Linked DNA regions of Macaca mulatta. The protein of the gene in region 3 interacts with the protein of the main gene of each other region in a pairwise test. Links are inferred from orthologs where the notes say so. Each region holds a gene or a part of one and is shown on either strand. Other genes may lie near its edges.

Evidence for each region. The genes of interacting proteins can lie anywhere in the genome.
Region 1: the proteins of BCL2L13 (region 3) and PLN interact in binary tests that used the Homo sapiens proteins (3 or more experiments, as listed by UniProt). The two-hybrid records come from large-scale screens. The link is inferred for Macaca mulatta from reciprocal best matches to the Homo sapiens genes BCL2L13 and PLN.
Region 2: the proteins of BCL2L13 (region 3) and TMEM86B interact in binary tests that used the Homo sapiens proteins (3 or more experiments, as listed by UniProt). The two-hybrid records come from large-scale screens. The link is inferred for Macaca mulatta from reciprocal best matches to the Homo sapiens genes BCL2L13 and TMEM86B.

Annotation. Positions count from the first base shown.
Region 1 is NC_133409.1:23,533,096-23,535,580, forward strand, and holds PLN (phospholamban), read left to right. Parts: upstream 1-1,139; 5' UTR 1,140-1,220; coding exon 1,221-1,379; 3' UTR 1,380-1,985; downstream 1,986-2,485. UniProt on the Homo sapiens protein: Reversibly inhibits the activity of ATP2A2/SERCA2 in cardiac sarcoplasmic reticulum by decreasing the apparent affinity of the ATPase for Ca(2+).
Region 2 is NC_133424.1:67,556,569-67,560,859, reverse strand, and holds the start of TMEM86B (lysoplasmalogenase TMEM86B), read left to right. Parts: upstream 1-1,491; 5' UTR 1,492-2,384; coding exon 2,385-2,435; intron 2,436-2,688; coding exon 2,689-2,935; intron 2,936-3,558; coding exon 3,559-3,941; 3' UTR 3,942-4,291. Other genes in the region: PPP6R1 (serine/threonine-protein phosphatase 6 regulatory subunit 1), read left to right, coding at 256-366, 447-518, 600-603. UniProt on the Homo sapiens protein: Catalyzes the hydrolysis of the vinyl ether bond of choline or ethanolamine lysoplasmalogens, forming fatty aldehyde and glycerophosphocholine or glycerophosphoethanolamine, respectively and is specific for the sn-2-deacylated (lyso) form of plasmalogen.
Region 3 is NC_133415.1:34,438,092-34,442,073, forward strand, and holds the start of BCL2L13 (bcl-2-like protein 13), read right to left. Parts: upstream 2,801-3,982; 5' UTR 2,655-2,800; intron 122-2,654; exon of another isoform or gene 17-121; intron 1-16. UniProt on the Homo sapiens protein: May promote the activation of caspase-3 and apoptosis.

The DNA of each region.
Region 1 (2,485 bases), on a different chromosome or scaffold from region 3:
TTCCTCCCTCCTTGACTGCTGGGATTGGCTCCAGCCACCAGCACCCCAAACCAGAATAAGAGGGTTGAAAAATGAATGAACGGATGAATACAAATTATTATCAAATAAAAACTGGTAAAGTCTAGGGTGATCATACAAATGCATGACAATAAATGCTATGGCACAAAAGCACTCAGAGATCCCATTGTATTTCTCAAACATTGATTCCATGTTTTTAATTGACCAACACAACCACTGTTACTCACTGATTCACGAAATACTGGGTAATTATCTTTGTTGGCTTTTTTTTTGAGACAGAGTTTTGCTGTGTCACCCAGGCTGGAGTACAGTGGCATGATCTGGGCTCACTGCAACCCCTGCCTCCTGGGCTCCAGCGATCCTCCCAAGTAGCTAGGATTACAGGCACATGCCACCAGCCTAGCTAATTTTTATATTTTTAGTAGAGACAGGGTTTCACCATGTTGGCCAGGCTGGTCTCAAACTCCTGGCCTCAGGGGATCTGCCCGCCTTGGCCTCCCAAAGTGCTGGGATTACAGGCGTGAGCCACTGCACCCGGCCTATCTGGTTTTTATTAATCTTTCTTAAATGTACATATAATTCATATTTCTCTCAACGTTTAATATTAGAAGTGTTTGGGTCTTTATTGAGAAGTTTGGTGATGTTCTTGTGACCAGAAATGTGCTATAGGAACTTACCTCTTATTTACATCAATCAGCCTAGGGTAAAAATGGTTTTGTTATATGTTGTTTTGCATAAAGTCTTGGTTTCCAGGAACTTATGGATGACACTGAGGATTACTGCAATACTTGTAGTAAATTTGGGAGAAAAAGGCAAAGACTGAAGTTACTACTCCTAACACAAATGAGACTGTCATGTTGTGCCCCATCAAAAAAGGAGAAAGAGAGACACATGGAAACACATGCGCACACACACACACACACACACACATACACACACACACACACACACACAGAGAGAGACAGAGAGAGAGAGACTATAGAAACACTTGATGTTATAAATAACAATAGTGCTGAGGAAGATGAATTAATACAACATTGTATTTTTTGTCCTGATAATAGGTTACATATATTATTCTAATCTATTTATTATTTTTACATTCCAGGCTACCTAAAAGAAGACAGTTATCTCATATTTGGCTACCAGCTTTTTATCTTTCTCTCAATCACTTAAAACTTCAGACTTCCTCTCCTGCTGGTATCATGGAGAAAGTCCAATACCTCACTCGCTCAGCTATAAGAAGAGCCTCAACCATTGAAATGCCTCAACAAGCACGTCAAAATCTACAGAATCTATTTATCAATTTCTGTCTCATCTTAATATGTCTCTTGCTGATCTGTATCATCGTGATGCTTCTCTGAAGTTCTGCTACAACCTCTAGATCTGCAACTTGCCACATCAGCTTAAAATCTGTCATCCCATGCAGACGGGAAAACAATACTGTAAAACAGACCACTTCCTGAGTAGAAGAGTTTCTTTGTGAAAAGGTCAAGATTAAGACTAAAACTTATTGTTAGCAAATGTATTCATCTGCTGGATCTTGTAAACATGAAAAGGGCTTTATTTTCAAAAATTAACTTTAAAATAAGTGTATAAAATGTAACTGTTGATTTCCTCAACATGGCTCACAAATTTGTATCCCAAATCTTTTCTGAAGATGAAATAAGAGTTTAGTTTTGAAACTGCACTGCCAACAAGTTCACTTCATATATAAAGCATTATCTTTACTCTTTTGAGGTGAATATAACTTATATTACACTGTAAAAGCTTCTTTAATACTGTTTTTCAAGTCTTCACCAAGTATCAAAGTAATAACACAAATGAAGTGTCATTATTCAAAACAGTCCACTGACTCCTCACATCTGTTATCTTATTATAAAGAACTCTGTAGTAACTCTTTGTAGTAACATTCTAAAACAGAAATTGCATTTTTGCTATGCCACATTAACATTTTTTAAAGTTGATGAGAATCAAGTATGGAAAAGTAAGGCCATACTCTTACATAATAAAATTACTCTTAAGTAATTTTTTCAAAGAATCACAGAATTCTAGTACCTGTAGGTAAACCATAAATCTGTTCTAAGACATATGATCAACAGATGAGAACTGGGGGTTAATATGTAACAGTGAGATTAGTCATATCACTAATATACTAACAGAATAGAATCTAATCTTCATTTAAGACACTGTAGTGAATTATCTGACCTAGAGTTACCTAGTTTACCACGCTGTATCTTTTGAATCATGAAACCTTAAGACTTCAGACTGATTTTACAGGTTGTCTTCCATTCCAACCTAACATCCAATGCAGGCAAGGAAAATAATACAAGATTTCCAGTGACAAAAAAAAATATTATCTCAAGTATTTAAAAAAATAAAAATATGAATTCTCTCTCCAAATATTAACTAATTCTTAGATTATATTTTGAAATGAACTTGTTGGCCCATCTATTACATCTACAGCTGA
Region 2 (4,291 bases), on a different chromosome or scaffold from region 3:
GCCCCTTGGGGCTGTCTCAGCTGGCCTCGAGTGCCTCTTCCACAGGGACAGGAGGCGGGAAGAGGGTTGCTTGTCTTCCTGCCCAGGGCCATGCCATCCCTCCACGCTGAGCCAGCTGAGTCCTTGGGAGGCCCCTCCTGGTGGGGCAGGTGGCAGACACACACCCAGTGAGCCGACTGCAGTCGTCTGGGGTGTGAGGGTGTCAGCAGGTGACAGTGGGGGCCACGCTGACAGCCGCACTTTCCTCACCCACAGTGCAACCAGAGACCCCGCTACCTCTGTCCCAGCCTCCGGGGCCCACCAGCGCCCCCAGACCACAGATGGGGAGAAGAGCCCAGAGCCCTTGGGGCTTCCCCAAAGCCAGAGGTGAGCACCAGGGCAGCGGGGCGCGGCAGGGCTGGTGGGGCAGGAAGTGACCTCTGCACATCCCCTCTCTCCCGTGACAGTGCCCAGGCCCTCACGCCTCCTCCGATACCCAATGGCTCTGCCCCGGAAGGGCCTGCATCCCCAGGCTCCCAGTGAGTGTGGCTGCAGCCTGGGGCTGGGTAGGTGGGGCTGGGCCTGCTGGACCCTCACACGACGTCTCCCTCTGTTTCCAGATAGCTGCCTGGTGCGGCAGCGGCGGCCAAATCTTCCGTCCTTCCGTGGATCTCCCAGGGTGGGGGCAGGGCGGGTCCCATGATGGCCCCCAGTGCCCTCATCACCCTGAACCCCCCACATTCTCTCCTCTGGACCCCCAGGAGGCGGGTGTCAGGGAGACAGGCCCAACCCACCCCCATTTGCACTGAGAAGAGAAGTTTTGGAGCATTGCCTCCTAGAATAAAGATAAAGAGAGTCAAATAGAGAGAATGGAGAGAGAGAAACGTATATTATATATTATATATAGAGAGAGGGAGGAGAGCGAGAGAAAGTGAGGACACCAAGCTGGGCTGGCGGCTCCAAAGCACAGCCTTCCCCGTTCCGTCCCAGCGGGGGCTGGTGTTAGGGGTCCCAAGGTTGCCGCCCACGTGCCCAGCCGTCCCATGCTCCAGCGCAGATGGCCACGCCCACACCCGGCCTTTCAGCTCAGGTCCACCATGGGGGACGGCCCAGCGCAGGTGGGGGTGCCAGAGGATCCCGAGTGGGGGCCGTGCCTTTGCCCAGACCCTGCACTTTCAACCAGGCCAGTCCGGCTCTGGGGAGCAGGGGCCTCCCCGGCAACACCCCTAGGGGCCTTGAGGGTCTGGGGTCCCAGCCCTGTTGCCAAGTGGCCTTGTCCCCAGCTCCCTCCTCCAGGCTGGTGTGAGTGTGCGTGCGTTCGTGCCGAGCTTCTATTTCATATTGCAAATATAAATAAAGGAAGACAGTTTACGATTCTGCTGGTCAGACCTTACGTTCTGGGATGCGGGGTGGGGAGCCTGTTATCCCTGCACCTCAGAGGCTGGGGGTGCTTCTGACCCAGTCTGTCCCAGCACTGCGTCCTGCCAGGGGGAAGCCTGAGGCTGCAGAGGCCCCAGGCTGGGCCAGGCGCTGGCTGTGAGGGCTCCTACCAGGCCTACCCCACCTGTGGGCAGGCCTGTGGGCAGAGAATAGAAGCCACCGACGTGCTCACATCCCTGCTCCTGCCCGCACTTACCCCCAGTAACCAAGCCCAGCATTGAGGCTGGGCTCTGGCGCCCAGTAGGTCTGAGTCTTTCAGGTGGAAGGTGGAAATGTAGGCTGGGTGTGCAGCGAGTGGCACGGGTGAGCGGCGCTGGGAAACCGGAGCGTGTGGACCGGGCCATGAGGACAGTGTCCTCACTTGGATGGCAGTCGGCTTGGAGGTCACCCGGGGCTCACTCAGCTAACAGGAGAGGGTGCTTATTCGCCGCATTCATGGTGGTCCCTCCTCGTCACCCACTGAAGCAGTGTTTGTGGTGGAGCCCATGAGGGCTTGGTGGGGTTGAGCAGAATGAGGGAAGGTTTCGTGGAGCAGGGAGGGAGATGGCTAGGGCAGCAAGTGAAGGACGGACTCGCCTTCCCATCCCTCCAGGGGTGCTCCTGCCAGCCAGCCCCTCCCCCGCTTTCATGAAGGGGTGGCCGTTGGAATTCTGCACTCCATCTCTGCTGATTGGGCCCAGGACAAGGGGACGGGCATTTGTGGGCCTCACCCCCCCCAGGCAGACAGGAGGAGGAAACCGTGTCCCAGCAGGCAGGGCAGAGGGACCCCCGATGCCAACAGTGCTTTATCAGCGGGTGCCAGGCGAGGCCGTCCCCGGGGTGAGGACAGCATCTCTCCGGGCCCTGTTATCAGTCACAGAGTCCACAGGACGCTCCTCGGGTTAACGTGTAACCATGAGCCGTCCCCGCCACCCCCTGAAGCCACTCGCTCCCAGATTAGGTCGCTCTGGGGGTATCAGGCCAGCATGGACGCTGGCAAAGCGGGGCAGACCCTGAAGACTCGCTGCTCAGCCCAGGTGAGAGCCTTCCGAGGTGTGCCTGGGGCTGGGGGCCAGGCCCCTGGAACCCCAGCAGCCGGTGGGTCTGGGAGCTGCTGTCCTTGAGTTGGTTGGGACCCTGGGAAGCTGGGTTCTGGCAGCCTGGTCCCTGAATGGGTACAGCCTGTACAGCTGGGGTCCCAGGTAGGGGTGGGACAGGAGCCACAAGATCTCAGTCCCAAGAACGGGGGCTGGGCTGGGTTTCGGCTCAGCAGCTCCCCATTCCCCAAAGCGCCCAGATGTCTGCAGGTGGCTGAGCCCCTTCATCCTCTCCTGCTGCGTGTACTTCTGCCTCTGGATTCCCGAGGACCAGCCGTCCTGGGTCGCTGCCCTGGTCAAGTGCCTGCCCATCCTCGGCCTGGCCGGGTTCCTGTGGGTCGTGTGCCCGGGCGGGGGCTACAGCCGGCTCCTCCAGGGAGCCCTCTTGTGCTCGGCAGTGGGGGACGCCTGCCTCATCTGGCCTGGAGCCTTCCTCCCTGGTGAGCGGAAGCTGCCATGACGCCTTCTGGATACCCGTGTGAGGGAGGCCCCAGCACTTGGATGGGAGCCTGCGGTGCAGAGGGCTCCTGTGAGAGCTCTGGTGGTCAGAGGCACGGTGGGGGGTGCAGCCATGACCGAGGCAGCTCACGCTCCAGCGAGGGATGGGGGCTGGCGGTGTAGGGCAGTAGCTGGGGGTGGCAAGGGCAGTGAGGACCCGCTGGGGGTGTTGCAGTTTGAAGCAGGGTTGCTGAGGAAGGTGTCGCTGGGGAAGTCACATTTGGGCAGAGCAGAAGGTGCTGTGTGCCTGTGTGGGGGAAGGGCAAGTGCAAAGGCTCCGGGACGGGTGTGCCAGGTGCTTGTGGCCAGGCAGGCCAGGGTGACCGGGCAGAGTGGCTGGTGAGCCGGAGGGCATGGGGCTTTGGAGGCCAAGAGAAGATGGGGCCTCCTGTTGGTTCTGAGCAGAGCAAGGATGGACACTGCATGTGGGGAGGCCTGCAAGGAGGCTTGGCCAGGGTGGGGCCTGGTGTTTTGGGACGGCCCTTATTTTAGGCCCTGAGGGGTGACCTCGGGGCCATTCCCAGGATGGGCCTTCCTCACTGGCACCCCACCCCTCTCCCACCAGGCATGGCCGCCTTCGCCACCACCCACCTTCTCTACGTCTGGGCCTTCGGCTTCTCTCCCCTGCAGCCTGGCCTGCTGCTGCTCATCATCCTGGCCTCTGGCCCCTACCTCAGCCTTGTGCTCCAGCACCTTGAGCCGGATATGGGCCTGCCTGTGGCAGCCTATGGGCTGATCCTGATGGCCATGCTGTGGCGCGGCCTGGCCCGGGGCAGGAGTGCCGGCTGGGGCGCGCTGCTCTTCACACTCTCTGATGGCGTGCTGGCCTGGGACACCTTCGTCCAGCCCCTGCCCCATGCCCGCCTGGTGGTCATGACCACCTACTACGCTGCCCAGCTCCTCATCACACTGTCGGCCCTCAGGAGCCAGATGGCGAAGACCGACTGACTAGAGAGCTTGAAGGGCCGGTATTCAGGCGCTCTCCTCTTGCAAAGACCTGGGCCTCCCAGATCAGCCCAGCCCGAGAAATACCCTCAGCAGCGAAGCTTCCTCACGCCTGTCTGCAGGCGCCACCGCCGCCGCCGCTTCCAGCTGAAGACGTTTGAGGACCATTTGCGGAATTCCAAGTCCACTGCTGGGTTCCAGCTGCCTTCTCCAGGTTCTGACTCCAGATCCCTGGCTCCTCAGCCAGGCCCACATGTGGCCCTCCCAGCCACCAGCCCGCCTCCGTGTTCTGTGTCGGCCCCACAGTCTGCCCGCCCCCAGCTCCTGCTCTGAATCCGTTTTCCTTGTCTTAG
Region 3 (3,982 bases):
AAAATCAGCTACTCCGATCCTTTTGTGGTTCATAAAGAACTGGGTTTCATGCTAATGCGTGACATATGACTCCCTCAAACCATGTTACCTCTTGGGCTCACTGGCACATTACCATCTGAGGAGGAAAAATAAAAAAAAATAAACTAATCTGAAAATGCTACCCACCCCTACTCTGTATATATATTAAACAAGAACTCTTGGTGAACATTTACTTGGAATAAGATACAAATCAAAATCCTGTCTGAAAAATGATAAATGCAGACTGGAACTACTAAGTGAATGTTTAAAACGTGTGTTTTGTATGCCTAAAGTATTTCACAATAAAATATACATATATATATATTTAGGCCGGGCACAGTGGCTCATGCCTGTAATCCCAGCACTTTGGGGAGCCGAGGCAGACAGATCACGAGGTCAGGAGATCAAGACCATCCTGGCTAACACAGTGAAACCCAGTCTCTACTAAAAAAATACAAAAAATTAGCCAGGCGTGGTGGCGGGCGCCTGTAGTCCCACCTAATCGGGAGGCTGAGGCAGGAGAATGGTGTGAACCAGAAGGCAGACTTTGCAGTGAGCCGAGATCGCGCCACTGCACTCCAGCCTAGGCGACAGAGTGATACTCCATTTCGAAAATATATATATATACACGTATATTTAATGAATAAATATATATATATTTTTTGAGTCAGGGTCTCTCTCTGTCACCCAGACTGAAGTACAGTGGAGCAATCGCAGCTCACAGCAGCCCTCCCTCTCGCCTCAGTCTTCCAAGTAGCTGGGACCTATGCCTAGCTAATTTTATTTTATTTTATTTTTTTAATTTCTTGTGAAGACAAGGTCTCCTTATGTTGCCCAGGCTGGTCTCGAACTCCTGGGCTCAAGCAATGCTCCTGCCTGAGCCTCCCAAAGTGCTGGGATTATAATAAGCCATCGCATACAGTCAAATAAAATGCTTTTAATAATGATTATTACTGTTGCAAACCACTTGTCCTAAAAGCTTAGTGTGTGTGATATTTAATAAATGTTTATTAGATTATGTGCTAGTAAACACAAGTCTGTTTTTTTACAAGACTGGTTGGATATAGCCTTAGACATCTTTCAATTGAATTCAACTACTGGTCCTTGCTGTAGGAGACAGCTTAAAATAAAATAAAAAGTGAATCCAACTACTGAATATACTCTTCCACATAAAAAATGAGCCATTGGAAAAAAAAATACAGAATAGTACCTGACCATTCAGAGTAAAAAGATTTTCAATACCTTTAACTGCCTATTACCAAATGAAGAATGCTTCATTTGGGGGAGACAGGGGGCTAAAAATGAAAAGAATACTTCATGGGGGGGTTGTAAAAACGAAAGTATCACCCGGCATGGTGGCTCACACCTGTAATCCCAACACTTCGGGAGGCCGAGGCGGGTGGATGACCGGAGGTTGGGAGTTCGAGACCATCCTGACGAACATGGTGAAACCCCGTCTCTACTAAAAATACAAAATGGGCCAGGCGTGGTGGCGCATGCCTGTAATCCCAGCTACTCCGGAGGCTGAGGAAGGAGAATCGCTTGAACCCAGGAGGCGGAGGTTGCGGTAAGCCGAGATCAAGCCATTGCACTCCAGCCTGGGCAATAAGAGTGAAACTCTTGTCTCAAAAAAAAAGAAAAGAAAAAAAGAAAGAATGTATCTGAAGGGTGTGGCAACTAACTCATCCAAGGTCACACAAGTCAGGGCAGAGAGCAACATTCTGCTTTATACTAAACCTCCAGGGGAAATCTTACAATTTCGCTATAGAAGTTTTTGTTTTGTTTTACGTAACAACAACAACAACAACAAAATAAAAGTAAGGAGAGAGGGCTGTCAGCTTAGTTCACAACTTCTAAACAGAGACAGTGAGATAGCTATTTTGGATAAACAAACACTTGTGCAGGGAGTGGCTGGGAGCTAACCAAAGCTATCAGTCAACAGCATGGGAACAACTGGACAGATCCGTCCGATTTTCAACGCTAGGTTAGAGCCTCCACTCAAAAAGTCGGTTATGAAAGCAAAAAACAGGATCTTTACAGAATGTTGGGAGGATAAATCAAAGGGGAAAAATGTCTCCATGTGAACTGTATTGCCTCCAAGGGCAAGAAGGCAGTTTTTTTTCCGAAAAAAGAATGGGTGTCAGAACAGCAGTGAATTAAGGTTAAGAAACAAGACTTCTAACAATCTCTGAAAAGAAACGACTAAGACTGGCAAAGATAATCTTCAAGTGTCCTAAGGGAATCGCAGGAAAACCTTTCCCTCAACCAAAAAGAAGTCGCCGTTCCCCAGTTTAGCCCTAAAAATGGACCCGGGTTTTCCACGTGAAGCTGTCTGTGGGGAAGGACAGCGGCGTGGAGCCAGGGCCGAGCTCCTCCGCCTCCGGCACCCCACGCCGGGAGAAGCCTGCTCAGCGGCGGGGCCGGGCGGCCAGGTCCGGTCTGGGTGAAGCGGACCCCTAAGTTCCGAGCACCTTCGGGCGAAGGAGCGCCGGTGCAGACACACACTCAAACTCACGCGTCGTCGGAACCACTGGGGAGTCAGCCGGTGGCTCGATACGGTCTCTGGGCACTTTCCTACCCAGGTGAAAACCACCTCCTCACACAGCTCAGCCTTCCCGGAACCCCACTCCCCTCACCTGGCCCTGGCCCCTGCCCCAGAAGAGATGAATGAGGCGGCGGCGGCGGTTGCTTCCGACAGGGTCCCCCAGCGGCGGTGAAGGCTCCGACCCGCGGCCCTAATCTACCGCCGCCGCCATGTTGGAGGGTGAGGTCACCCCAGCGTGCCTTCGTCACGGCCGGCGTCGGGGCGGGACCTGGGCGACCGGAGAACCGGAAGGGTATCCGGAGCGGAAGCACCGACCACCGAGGCCGGAGGTCTCTCCGCGCAGATGTGACCTGAAGACCCAAACCCTCCTAGCCCGTCCAAATCTATGATTGCTGACGTTCGGAAATTCCGTCTCCCAAATAATTTCTGGAGTCGAGGGATTGGGATTCTGACCGGCTGGTTGGTGGGCTGGCGATTCCAGGGAAAGAAGCCTTAGTGCGTACACAGCCTATGTTCAGTTCCACAAACATGTGTTGAGTTTCAAGTGGTCAAATAAGTATCTACACAGTCACTACAGCCGCGGTGTTCGCCACTAGTTGGGGCAGATGGTCCTTGAAGGTTGGGAAGGAATTCCGGGGAGGGGATATAGCGGGGTCGTATAGAGAGGTCCTAGGCGAAGGGAGCTGGCTGAGCAGAAGTGCCACGGCATGAAGGAAGTCCTAACAATACTAACCCGTTTTTGTTAACAGTACCTAGCACAGCGCCTGGAACATACTTGTGTTAATGGATGTTTGTTTACTTGAATCCAAGAGTTCTTTGGAGGAGTATCGGAAGGTATGTAGGAGAGAGAATACAATATGTTTTAGGGAGAGCAAATTGCCCGTGGTGTGTGTACTGAACTGGAACAAGGAGGGCATTGACAAGGAGAAGACTGAGCCAGATCAGAAGTGATAAAGTCCTGATGGGGAGTGACTGCCAGTAGATACAGGGTTTCTTTTTGGGGTGATGGTGGCACGACTCTCTGAAATACTGAAAACTATTGAATTGTACACTATAGGTGAATTGTATGGTATGAGATCTATATCTCATACAAAGCTACTCTAAATGAAGTGATTTAAAATAGTTGAACTGCGGCCGGGTGCGGTGGCTCACGCCTGTAATCCCAGCACTTTGGGAGGCCGAGACGGGTGGATCACGAGGTCAGGAGATCAAGACCATCCTGGCAAACACAGTGAAACCCCGTCTCTACTAAAAAATACAAAAAACTAGCCGGGCCAGGTGGCGGGCGCCTGTAGTCCCAGCTACTCGGGAGGCTGAGGCAGGAGAATGGCGTAAACCCAGGAGGCAGAGCTTGCAGTGAGCCGAGATCGCGCCACTGCACTCCAGCCTGGGTGACAGAGCAAGACTCCGTCTCAAAAA